3 linked regions of the Ovis aries genome follow. The protein of the gene in region 1 purifies or fractionates together with the protein of each later gene. This does not show direct contact. Links are inferred from orthologs where the notes say so. Each region holds a gene or a part of one and is shown on either strand. Other genes may lie near its edges. The genes, in order: OTUD1, FLNC and AIFM1.

What was found.
Region 2: the proteins of OTUD1 (region 1) and FLNC purify together in Homo sapiens (affinity purification with mass spectrometry; 3 studies listed by BioGRID and IntAct, with this or other methods). This does not show direct contact. The link is inferred for Ovis aries from reciprocal best matches to the Homo sapiens genes OTUD1 and FLNC.
Region 3: the proteins of OTUD1 (region 1) and AIFM1 purify together in Homo sapiens (affinity purification with mass spectrometry; 3 studies listed by BioGRID, with this or other methods). This does not show direct contact. The link is inferred for Ovis aries from reciprocal best matches to the Homo sapiens genes OTUD1 and AIFM1.

What each region holds. Positions count from the first base shown.
Region 1 is NC_056066.1:23,757,008-23,760,757, forward strand, and holds the start of OTUD1 (OTU domain-containing protein 1), read left to right. Parts: upstream 1-1,511; 5' UTR 1,512-1,703; coding exon 1,704-3,152; 3' UTR 3,153-3,750. UniProt on the Homo sapiens protein: Deubiquitinating enzyme that specifically hydrolyzes 'Lys-63'-linked polyubiquitin to monoubiquitin.
Region 2 is NC_056057.1:94,501,478-94,505,127, forward strand, and holds part of FLNC (filamin-C), read left to right. Parts: intron 1-1,296; coding exon 1,297-1,394; intron 1,395-1,510; coding exon 1,511-1,661; intron 1,662-1,754; coding exon 1,755-1,873; intron 1,874-2,036; coding exon 2,037-2,114; intron 2,115-2,324; coding exon 2,325-2,487; intron 2,488-2,710; coding exon 2,711-2,911; intron 2,912-3,286; coding exon 3,287-3,352; intron 3,353-3,650.
Region 3 is NC_056080.1:113,994,197-113,996,786, reverse strand, and holds the end of AIFM1 (apoptosis-inducing factor 1, mitochondrial), read left to right. Parts: intron 1-1,197; coding exon 1,198-1,394; intron 1,395-1,755; coding exon 1,756-1,827; 3' UTR 1,828-2,026; downstream 2,027-2,590. UniProt on the Homo sapiens protein: Functions both as NADH oxidoreductase and as regulator of apoptosis.

The sequences.
Region 1 (3,750 bases):
ATCTCCAAATCAGCGATGAAATTTAGGTAACTTCCTTTTTCTAGTTAGCCAGTGGGGTCTACAAGCTTACAGTGGGGTGTCACCAGAAGCTGAAAAGACGGTTAGACTTTTATGTGGTTGTTTTTCCTTCCAGTTGACCTACCTAACAGGTTCAAGTGACCTGGGCAAAGGCAGCTGGGATCCTGTCAGTCACACGCACGACGGCAAATTGAAGCTCTGGCTAGGGGTCAGGAGACCAGGATCGTAATTCTGCCTTTTCCACTGTTTTGGGAACTCCTCTTCCATTAATTAACTCATTCAATAAATATTAATTAGTTCCATCTATGTGCCAGCCTCTGTGCTGGGTTTGTAACTATAATAGCCATCAAGACTAAGTCTTTCCATTCAGGGAACCTAAGATTCACAAAACAATACGTGGAGTGGGGAGGCTTATACCATAACATAAGCTATTTCCTCATCACTGAAACAGTGAAACAGCTTTGTAGGTTCACTCTGAACATTTAGGGTCTGTCAGTTAGCATGTGATCAAAGCTGAGAATATAGCAAGAGCTGCCCACTGCTATACAGTCAGTATACAAGTTGATCATGACCATTTTAGCTTTCCTTTACAAACAGGGACATCTAACACAATAGGGTAGAACTATGTTCAAGATTCTATTCAATTTCAACATTCTCGCAATGCATCACGACCCTCTTTACCGCTGACCTACGGTGAACAGCTGCACCTATTTTCAAGAGGCCCGGTTAGGCATTTGGTATTTCACCCAAGACTTGTATTTGCTTATCAAATACGGGTTAGGACAGCAGAAAAGTTGGTTTCGGTTTAGCAGGGCGGCAAGGTGCTGGGGAGAAAGGGAGGCGTCACACTGCTACGTTAACAATATAATCTCAGGGTTGAGTGAAAAAGATGGCAGTGGTGCAATGACCATGCAGAGGCCATGCAGGTTTTAGGGCAGCTGTCCCCACGCAGAACTCGGAAGCTTGTTTTGAAACGCACTTTCAGCACTCTTGGCCGCCCCAAGCTGCCCCGAACCCTCTAAGATCCACCGCTAAAGCGTAGAAAAGCGCGGCGCCTAGAAACTAACACTGAGGTGGGGCAGCGGCCACGGCTGCACAGGCCTCCGCGCCCTCCCGCCCGCGCGCCCGTCGCCCGCGCTGCGGGCCACGCCCATGACGTCACCGAATGGGGCGGGGCGAGACGGAGGGGGTGGGGCGAGCCCCGGCGGTTGAATGGGACGCCGCGACGAGCCGCACATTCCAATAAGGGCACGTGACGCGGCAGCGCTGCCTGAGGTAAACAACCGTGGCCCCGCCTCCTGGCTCGTCCGCGCGCCCTGCAGAGCTGCTAGCCGGCGGGACGCGCTCCAGCAGGGCGGGCGGCTACCTCTGAGAGTCCTCAGCGGCCGCCGCGGGCCGGAGCAGCGACGGCGGGCGCACGCGTCCCGGGTCTGCGGGCCGCTAGCGCCGGCAGGGGTCGAGCGCGCGTCCCCTCCCCGCCCCCACCGCGCGCTGTGGCGCAGCAGGAATTTGGCGGGGACCCGGGCGCTATTTGCAGCTCCTGACGCGCCGGCGGCCCTTCGGTCATTTCTATTCTCAGGGCACTGGGTCACCGCGCTCGGCCGGCCCCCTCCCCCGGGCCCGGAGGGTGTGTCCCCTCACTAGGGCTCGGCGCGCCTATAAGGGGCCGAGCGGCGGGCAGGGACATGCAGCTCTACAGCAGCGTCTGCACCCACTACCCAGCCGGGGGCCCGGGTCCCACGGCCGCAACCGCCGCTCCGCCCGCCGCCGCCACTGCCGCCTCGTTCAAGGTCTCTCTGCAGCCCCCGGGACCCGCCGGTGGCGCCCCGGAGCCCGAGACCGGTGAGTGCCAGCCGGCCGCGGCCGCCGAGCCCCGCGAAGCCGCCGCCGCTCCCGCCGCCAAGATGCCCGCCTTCTCCTCCTGCTTCGAGATGGTGTCCGGGGCCGCCGCCCCCGCCTCGGCCGCCGCCGCCGCCGGGCCGCCCGGCGGGTCCTGCAAGCCGCCTCTGCCGCCGCACTACACGTCCACAGCGCAGATCACCGTGCGGGCCCTGGGCGCCGACCGGCTCCTGCTGCGCGGCCCCGAGCCCGGCGCCGCGGCTTCCGCCGCCCCACGCGGCCGCTGCCTCCTGCTGGCCCCGGCACCAGGCGCTCCGATCCCGCCGCGGCGGGGCTCCTCGGCCTGGCTTCTGGAGGAGCTGCTGAGGCCCGATGGCCCGGAGCCTGCCGGTCTGGACGCGACCCGCGAGGGGCCCGACAGAAACTTCCGACTGAGCGAGCACCGCCAGGCCCTGGCCGCCGCCAAGCACCGCGGCCCCGCGCCGCCCCCGGGAAGCCCGGAGCCCGGCCCTGGCCCGTGGGCCGAGGAGCGCCCGGCAGAGAGGAACCTCCGCGGCTGGGACAGAGCTGGCGACCGCGGCGACGCTCCCGGCGCCGAAGAGCCGGGGCGACCCGACCCGGAGGCCGAGGCGGCCCCGGCCCGGAGCGGCGAGGCGGCCCCGGGCGGCGCGACCGAGGCGGTGATCGTGTCCAGGTCGGATCCTAGGGACGAGAAGCTGGCCCTGTACCTGGCGGAGGTGGAGAGGCAGGACAAGTACCTGCGGCAGAGGAACAAGTACCGATTTCACATCATTCCCGACGGCAACTGCCTCTACCGGGCGGTAAGCAAGGCGGTGTACGGGGACCAGAGCCTGCACCGGGAGCTACGGGAACAGACGGTGCACTATATCGCCGACCATCTCGACCACTTTAGCCCCTTGATTGAGGGCGACGTGGGGGAGTTTATCATCGCTGCTGCCCAGGACGGGGCCTGGGCCGGGTACCCCGAACTGCTGGCCATGGGGCAGATGCTGAATGTGAATATCCATCTGACTACTGGAGGGAGGCTGGAGAGCCCCACGGTGTCTACCATGATTCACTATTTGGGCCCGGAGGATTCCCTAAGGCCTAGCATTTGGCTCAGTTGGCTCAGTAACGGACATTATGACGCGGTGTTTGATCACTCGTATCCGAACCCGGAGTATGACACTTGGTGCAGGCAGACTCAAGTGCAGAGAAAACGCGATGAAGAACTTGCGAAGTCCATGGCCATATCCCTGTCCAAAATGTATATTGAGCAAAATGCATGCTCTTGAAGTGTCTGAGACCCTCGGCCTGGGAAAATTGCATACCTAATTTGTGTTTGGAGAGTTATATGAACTTTAATCAGGGTAATTGCACTTTTAAACTTTCTAGTAGATTTACTGTAGGTGTAATGCCTTAATCATTTTTTTGAATGTTTTCTCCTCAGAGCTGAAGGTTGCTGGGCACCTAAATGATGTTTCATAGTAGCTTTGGGTGATCCTACTGCTATTTATGATTTGCTGTATAAAGTTGGCACTACTTAATTTGCAAGCTGATTTCTCAGTGTAAATTTGTTCATTCCTGGTAATCTATTTTCTATAAAAACGTATTTTTGCACAACATTTTTAACAATTGGTGTACCTTCATCTAGGATGTGATCCATTTTGACAAACAGCTTTCCGGCATAAATCCAGAGAAGTGCTTTATATGAAGTTTATTATTTTGAGCAGAGTTTGTGATTTCGTATTTTATGTTGTTGGATTTGAATTTTAGAGTTCTTAGATAATTATTTCAAATGGCTATTGATGCTTTCATGTTACCAGATAATTGGCCCATTCCGTTTTGATGACAGATTAGTTGTTTGGAAAATCATTATTTTTCTAGAAATGG
Region 2 (3,650 bases), on another chromosome or scaffold:
ACAGCTTATCTGTGGCAGAACTGAATCAGATGCCAGTGGGGACCTGGCGCTCCCTGCTTCATGAACTTCCTATTTTGCTACAGAAGGGTCATTTCTGCTCAGCCAGTAGAAAGAAAATGTGGTGGGACTTATAGAGAGAAGGCCAGAACTTTAGGCCTGGAGAAGGCTATTCTTTGCAAGCCCCTGGGATAGCTTTGAGAAGGGGTTGAGGCCCAGGATGATGTGGTCTGAGGCTGGTGGGATACTGCCCCAGTGCCAGGTGACCCAGGCCTGGCCTGGGCAGGCGGGGGCCACTAAGGGCCCATGAGAAGACTTAGACATCACAGATGAGAACAGTACCCCACGTATAGCTCTCTTTCTGACCCTCGTCTCACGAGATGATCTGTCGTCTCCCCACCTCTTGGAGCCATGTCCCCCTGGGGGAATCCTCCCCCAGCCTGGGGTCAGCTGGGGAGCAAGGGGTGGGAGGAGGGGGCACCGGCCTCCTGGGAAGCATTCCCAGCTGCTGAGCCATTGCCCACGGTTGGCTCGACTGCCAGCAGTGAGCTCAGCTGTTCTGGCCAGTCATGGATTCCAGCCTTTGAGCTGGTCCCCTCCCCGCCAGGGAGCATCACCCTCCTCCTCCAGCTCTGGCTGGGACCCAGCACCCCCTAACCCCTGCACCCTTTCCCAGGAGTGACCCCTGGCTGCCTCAGCAGTCCTCCCATCAGGAGGGCTGGGTTCTGGGCGGCCAAAAAGAACTCGGCCTCTCAAACAAGCTCTTCAGTCCCTTCATTTCCCCGAGGCGGAAGTTAGGAAGCAGAGAGAGCCTTATGCTCTACAGCTGATGTGGGAAGTGCATGGACACCTAGGGCTTCAGGGCAGCTGTGAGGAGACCTTTCAGGAGATGGGTCAAAGGCACTTGTGGGACGGGGACTGCCCACCTCTGAGGCTGCTGGAATGAGGCGGGGGGTCTGTGAGGGGTGCGCTCCCTGGAGTTTGGTGTTCAGGGTGGGTGCTGGGGCCTGGGCAGGCCGGAGGCCGGCTGGCAGGACTGGTGCCAGGCTGCGTCAGCTGGGGCAGAAAGGCTTCATTGTTGGTGATCGGGAGGGCTGCAGTGCGTCTAAACAGCAATGGGCATCCCAGCTAAAGGGCCGTAAGGTTGGGGGTCAGCAGGAACCCAGCTGGTCAGGGGCCTGGGGCCGTATGGGAAGGGAATGTGAACCCACGGCCTGGGAGGGTGTTGGTGGAGCAAGTGCTCTGCGTCCTGGCTGACCGCTGCCCCCTCATCACTGCTTCCCTCCACCATCTCTCTAGGCCTCTGCCCTGACTGGGAGGCCTGGGACCCCAACCAGCCTGTGGAGAACGCCCGGGAGGCCATGCAGCAGGCGGACGACTGGCTTGGGGTGCCCCAGGTAGGCGGAGAGCAAAGGGACTCGGAGAGGGCCAGGGGTGGGGTTGAGTCTGTGAAGCTACCTGGGCAGGATGCTGGGGACAGAGGACACTTTCTGACTCCCTTCCTCCCTGGCAGGTGATTGCTCCCGAGGAGATCGTGGACCCCAACGTGGATGAACATTCGGTCATGACCTACCTGTCCCAGTTCCCCAAGGCCAAACTCAAACCTGGCGCCCCTGTTCGCTCCAAGCAAGTGAACCCCAAGAAGGCCATCGCCTATGGGCCTGGTATGTGTTGAGCCCTGACGGTCTTTCCTGGGCAGCTGGACATGGCCTGGGATGGTTCTCCCTAAACTCCGTGGCTCTGCCTTCCACGCTCAGGGATCGAGCCCCAGGGTAACACCGTGCTGCAGCCTGCCCATTTCACCGTGCAGACAGTGGACGCTGGTATAGGCGAGGTTCTGGTCTACATCGAGGATCCTGAGGGCCACACTGAGGAGGTATGGAGAGGCCACTGGAGACCGGACAAGAGCACAGACCAACAGTGGAATGGGCTGGAGATCGCTGCTGGGGCACTGGAGAAGGGGGAGGCCTCACCATGGGGGTTGCAGAAGGCGTGGGGTCAGGAGGAGCTCTGACGGCCGATCGTTTCCCTTCCTGTAGGCCAAGGTGGTTCCCAACAATGACAAGAACCGCACCTACGCTGTCTCCTACGTGCCCAAGGTCGCCGGCTTGCACAAGGTATCCCTCTATAGGCTCTCCTGTGTCTTCCCTACTCCATTCACATCCTTGCATCTGGCTGAATTGGACCCCTCTCTCAGCTCACACCCCACCCCACCCTCATGCACCAGCCCCACCCGCCTCTCATCCTGCTTGGCTTTGCCCCGCCCCTCAACCCCCCTCTCAGAGCTGCTTTCTTCTAGAAGCTCACCTTTGGCCTCTGACCTCCAGGTGACCGTGCTCTTTGCTGGTCAGAACATCGAACGCAGCCCCTTTGAGGTGAACGTGGGCATGGCCCTGGGAGATGCTAACAAGGTGTCAGCCCGTGGTCCCGGCCTGGAACCCGTGGGCAATGTGGCCAACAAACCCACGTACTTTGACATCTACACTGCAGGTGGGGATTGGCCCTTCCACCAGACACCCCATGACTGTTCATGGTGGGGGACCTGGGGGCCAGGGGCAGGGCCTGGCCAGAGGGCCGTGGTCTCAGGGTGAGGGAGCCTGAGCAGGAGGGACACACCATGACTATTTTTTTGGGTGGGAGGGGGTGCCTGGGGGCCGTGGTCTCAGGGTGAGGGAACCCGAGCAGGAGGGGCTGACAGCCGTTGCCGTGACAGGGGCTGGCACAGGGGATGTTGCCGTGGTGATCGTGGACCCGCAGGGCCGGCGGGACACGGTGGAGGTGGCCCTGGAGGACAAGGGCGACAGCACGTTCCGCTGCACGTACAGGCCCGTGATGGAGGGCCCCCACACGGTGCACGTGGCCTTCGCCGGAGCCCCCATCACCCGCAGTCCTTTCCCCGTCCACGTGGCAGAAGGTAAAGGCCCTTCACCCACCCCCGTGACCCCCCTCGCCAAAGGCCAGGATGCAGAGTGTTGCCACCAAGTCTGAGGACTTACGGGAAATGAAGCACCGCAACCAGGGGGTGGGGTGGGTGGGGATGGGGTCAGGGGGAGCCTTCTGTAGGCTTAAAGTGGGCAGAAAGAAGAGCCCAGGGTGGGGCTCCTGAGAGCTCGTCTGTCCAGCCCCCGCCCCTGAGGACGGTCAGGTCACTGTGAAGGATACCAGACGGGCCACGGTGGAAGGGCCGAGGGGGAAGCGACCGGACCATGTGGGCGGAAGGGCATATTCACTGGAGCACCTTGCACCAGGCTCTCAGGCAGTGACTCCCCACTCTCTCTCCGCCACTCAGAGCCCCTGCCGCCGCCGCCCGCCCCCTCCGTGCCCATCGTCCACCAGGCCAAGAGAGTGGTGCCGCGTTAGTACACGCCAGCGGAGGCGGGCTGGGCATGGCCATAGCTGACTGGCCTCCCCTGTGCTGTGTGGCATGGCCCGAGCTGGGTGCAGTCGCCCCCCCTCCCGTGGCATTCTGTGACAGGCCCCAGGTTCCACGCCTTTGCCTCTGTTCTGTGGCAGCTCTCGTCTCTTGGGACTGGCCTGGTGATTTCTGTGAGAAGGGTCTGGGTTCTGTGGCAGTCCCCGGACACTGGGCCGTTTTGTCTGTGTTCCGGGGCAGGCCTGGATGGATGATACACTGTTGCCTGTCGGGTGGCGCC
Region 3 (2,590 bases), on another chromosome or scaffold:
ACCTCTGTGTCCTCCTATTAGAGGCATTTTAAGGACAAATTGCTCTTTAAGAAGGAGAAAGCAAGATATTATATGGATATAAGGGTCTTGTTCATGTATAATCTAAGTGGATTACGTTATTACTCCTTAAATTGGACCTCTCCTGGGAAGTGGATCCCCGGAGGAGGACCCAGGGACTTATAAACTGCAGGTCACTGCTCTGTCCACTGGGCAGTATTACCTGAAGCCTGGTTCTCAGAAGACAAAGTACCCTCTCCCCAGGCTGCTGCTACCACCCCACCCAGGAGGAAACACTTGCACTACGGTTTTTCCCTTTGGAAGTGCCTTCTGCTTTGGCCAGAGTGTCTCTAGTGGTGCTAAGAGAACTTTTCTGCCATAGTGGCAGTGTTCTGTTTCTGTCTGAAACATTAGCCACTCAGTATGACTCTTCAGCACTTGAAATGTGGTTAGTGCAAACGTGCTACGTTGCTTCAGTCACATCCTAGGAATTTCCCAGGCCAGAATACTGGAGTGGATTGCCATTTCCCTCCTCCAGGGGATCTTCGAAACCCAGGGATCAAGTCCACATCTCTTATGACCCTGGCACTGGCAGGCGGGTTCTTTACCACTAGCGCCACCTGGGAAGCTCAAGAAGAAAGGCTTCCCTGACCGGGAATCAAACCCGAGCCTCAGTGGTGAGAGCAGCGAATCCTAACCACTAGACCACCAGGGGAGTGTTGGGTTTCACAAATGAACTGGTTTGGCAAATGAGGAACTGGATTTTACATTTTTTGTTCAATTTTAATGAAAATTAAACTTCAATTGTGAATTAATTTTAATTAGGATAACTATATGTTCCTAGTGGCTATTGTACTGACCGTAGCTCTAGGATGTTTCTCAGAGGACAAGAACAAGTCTTCTGTAATTTGAAAAAGATACCAGGAAATATCCGTAGAGTCAATTTAAAATGAGATAGAAAGTTTGGGGTCAGACTGACCCAGTGCCCAGCAGCTGGCAAGGAAGAGCTTTTGTTGGCTCTGTCAGTGGAGAGGAGCTGGAGAAGACCAGTGTTTACTGAGGCAGCATAGAAAAACAAATCGTCTAGAAGCAGCCTGAAGCAGGTGTTGAAAGATACTTGCCTTCTAGAATTTCCAAGCGCATAATAAGTGACTTTGTTTTACTTTGACTTTGCTTGTTTGTTTGGGGGGTTGGCCACAGGCACTGGTATCCGATCAGAGAGCGAGACAGAATCTGAGGCCTCGGACATCCCTGTTCCTCCCAGCAACCCTGCAGTCCCCCAGGTCCCCACCCAAGGGGAGGACTACGGCAAAGGTGTCATCTTCTACCTCAGGGACAAAGTGGTGGTGGGGATCGTGCTGTGGAACATCTTCAACCGGATGCCAATAGCACGGAAGGTAGGTACTGGCATAGCTCTGAGAGGAAGATAAGGGTGTGGGCGGAAGTCCCTCCTGTGACTTCATCAGCTGTCCTGCCATGCACTGTCCTCCCAGGTCAGATTGAGCCTGAGCAGAACAAGATGTCACCTTGGCTCAGAAATGTTTCTTTCTTTCTTTCTTTCTTTTTTTTTTTTTTTTTTTAAAAAAAGGATTGTTTCTTTTTCACTCAGGACACGGTTGGGTGGCCTGGGCATTAGCATGTCCTCACTTGGGCTTTGCAGAAAGCCCTTCCCACAACTCCCTCCTGGTATGGAGTGGGGGCTGGCCTGGCCTGCACACACACAGGGTGAGTTAGACTCCTTGTTCCTCTGTCCCTCAGATTATTAAGGACGGTGAGCAACATGAAGATCTCAATGAAGTAGCCAAGCTCTTCAACATTCATGAAGACTGAAGCGCTCACCATGGGTAGCAGGCAGGCCCTTGGCTGTCCCTGAGGACAGCTTAGATGAGTAAAGGAGCATTTTTTTTTTTTATTCAGCAGACTTTCTCTGAATGTATGGGTATGAATGATCAAGTCCTTTGTGAATATTTCAACCATGTAGGCAAATTCTTAATGTTCACATCATTAAATAAAACCTGATTCTTCTAAATTAAATTCTCTTCTCTTTGAAAGGGAGTGAGTGGGTGAAAGGAGGAAAGCTGTGCGAATGAGAGAGCAGGCCAGTTGGAGCCATTCCCAAATAGACCATCTTTCTCGGCCTCCTTCTCCCTGCTTCACACTCTCAGCTTCTTTCAGTTTCCTGAACTCCCTCGCCCTCCAGACTCTGTACAGACCTGCTATGGCCTCTTCCTGCAGAACTTGACCCCTCTCCCCTCCTCTGGGGAAAATCGCCGTCTCTGAAGACTTTCCTGATCCTCCCAAGCCTGTTCCTTGCTTACATGTCTCCCTGCTGCTCTGCAGCTCCCTGGAAGCCAGAACTCAGGCTTTCCTGTCTTCTCACGGTTCTCTCTCCAGAGCTGGGCACAGGGCTCATAGTAGGTGCTCAGCGAAACATTGAATGAGCACACACATAAACATGTGGACTCAACTCTGCTCTACCTGGGACACCTCCCCTGTGTACCCCCCAGCCCAGAACTGAATTGGTCGTGGGAGGGGAGGACAGAAAAGACATTTACTGCAAACGGAAACAGAGGTTCGGAGACTGGTGCTTCAG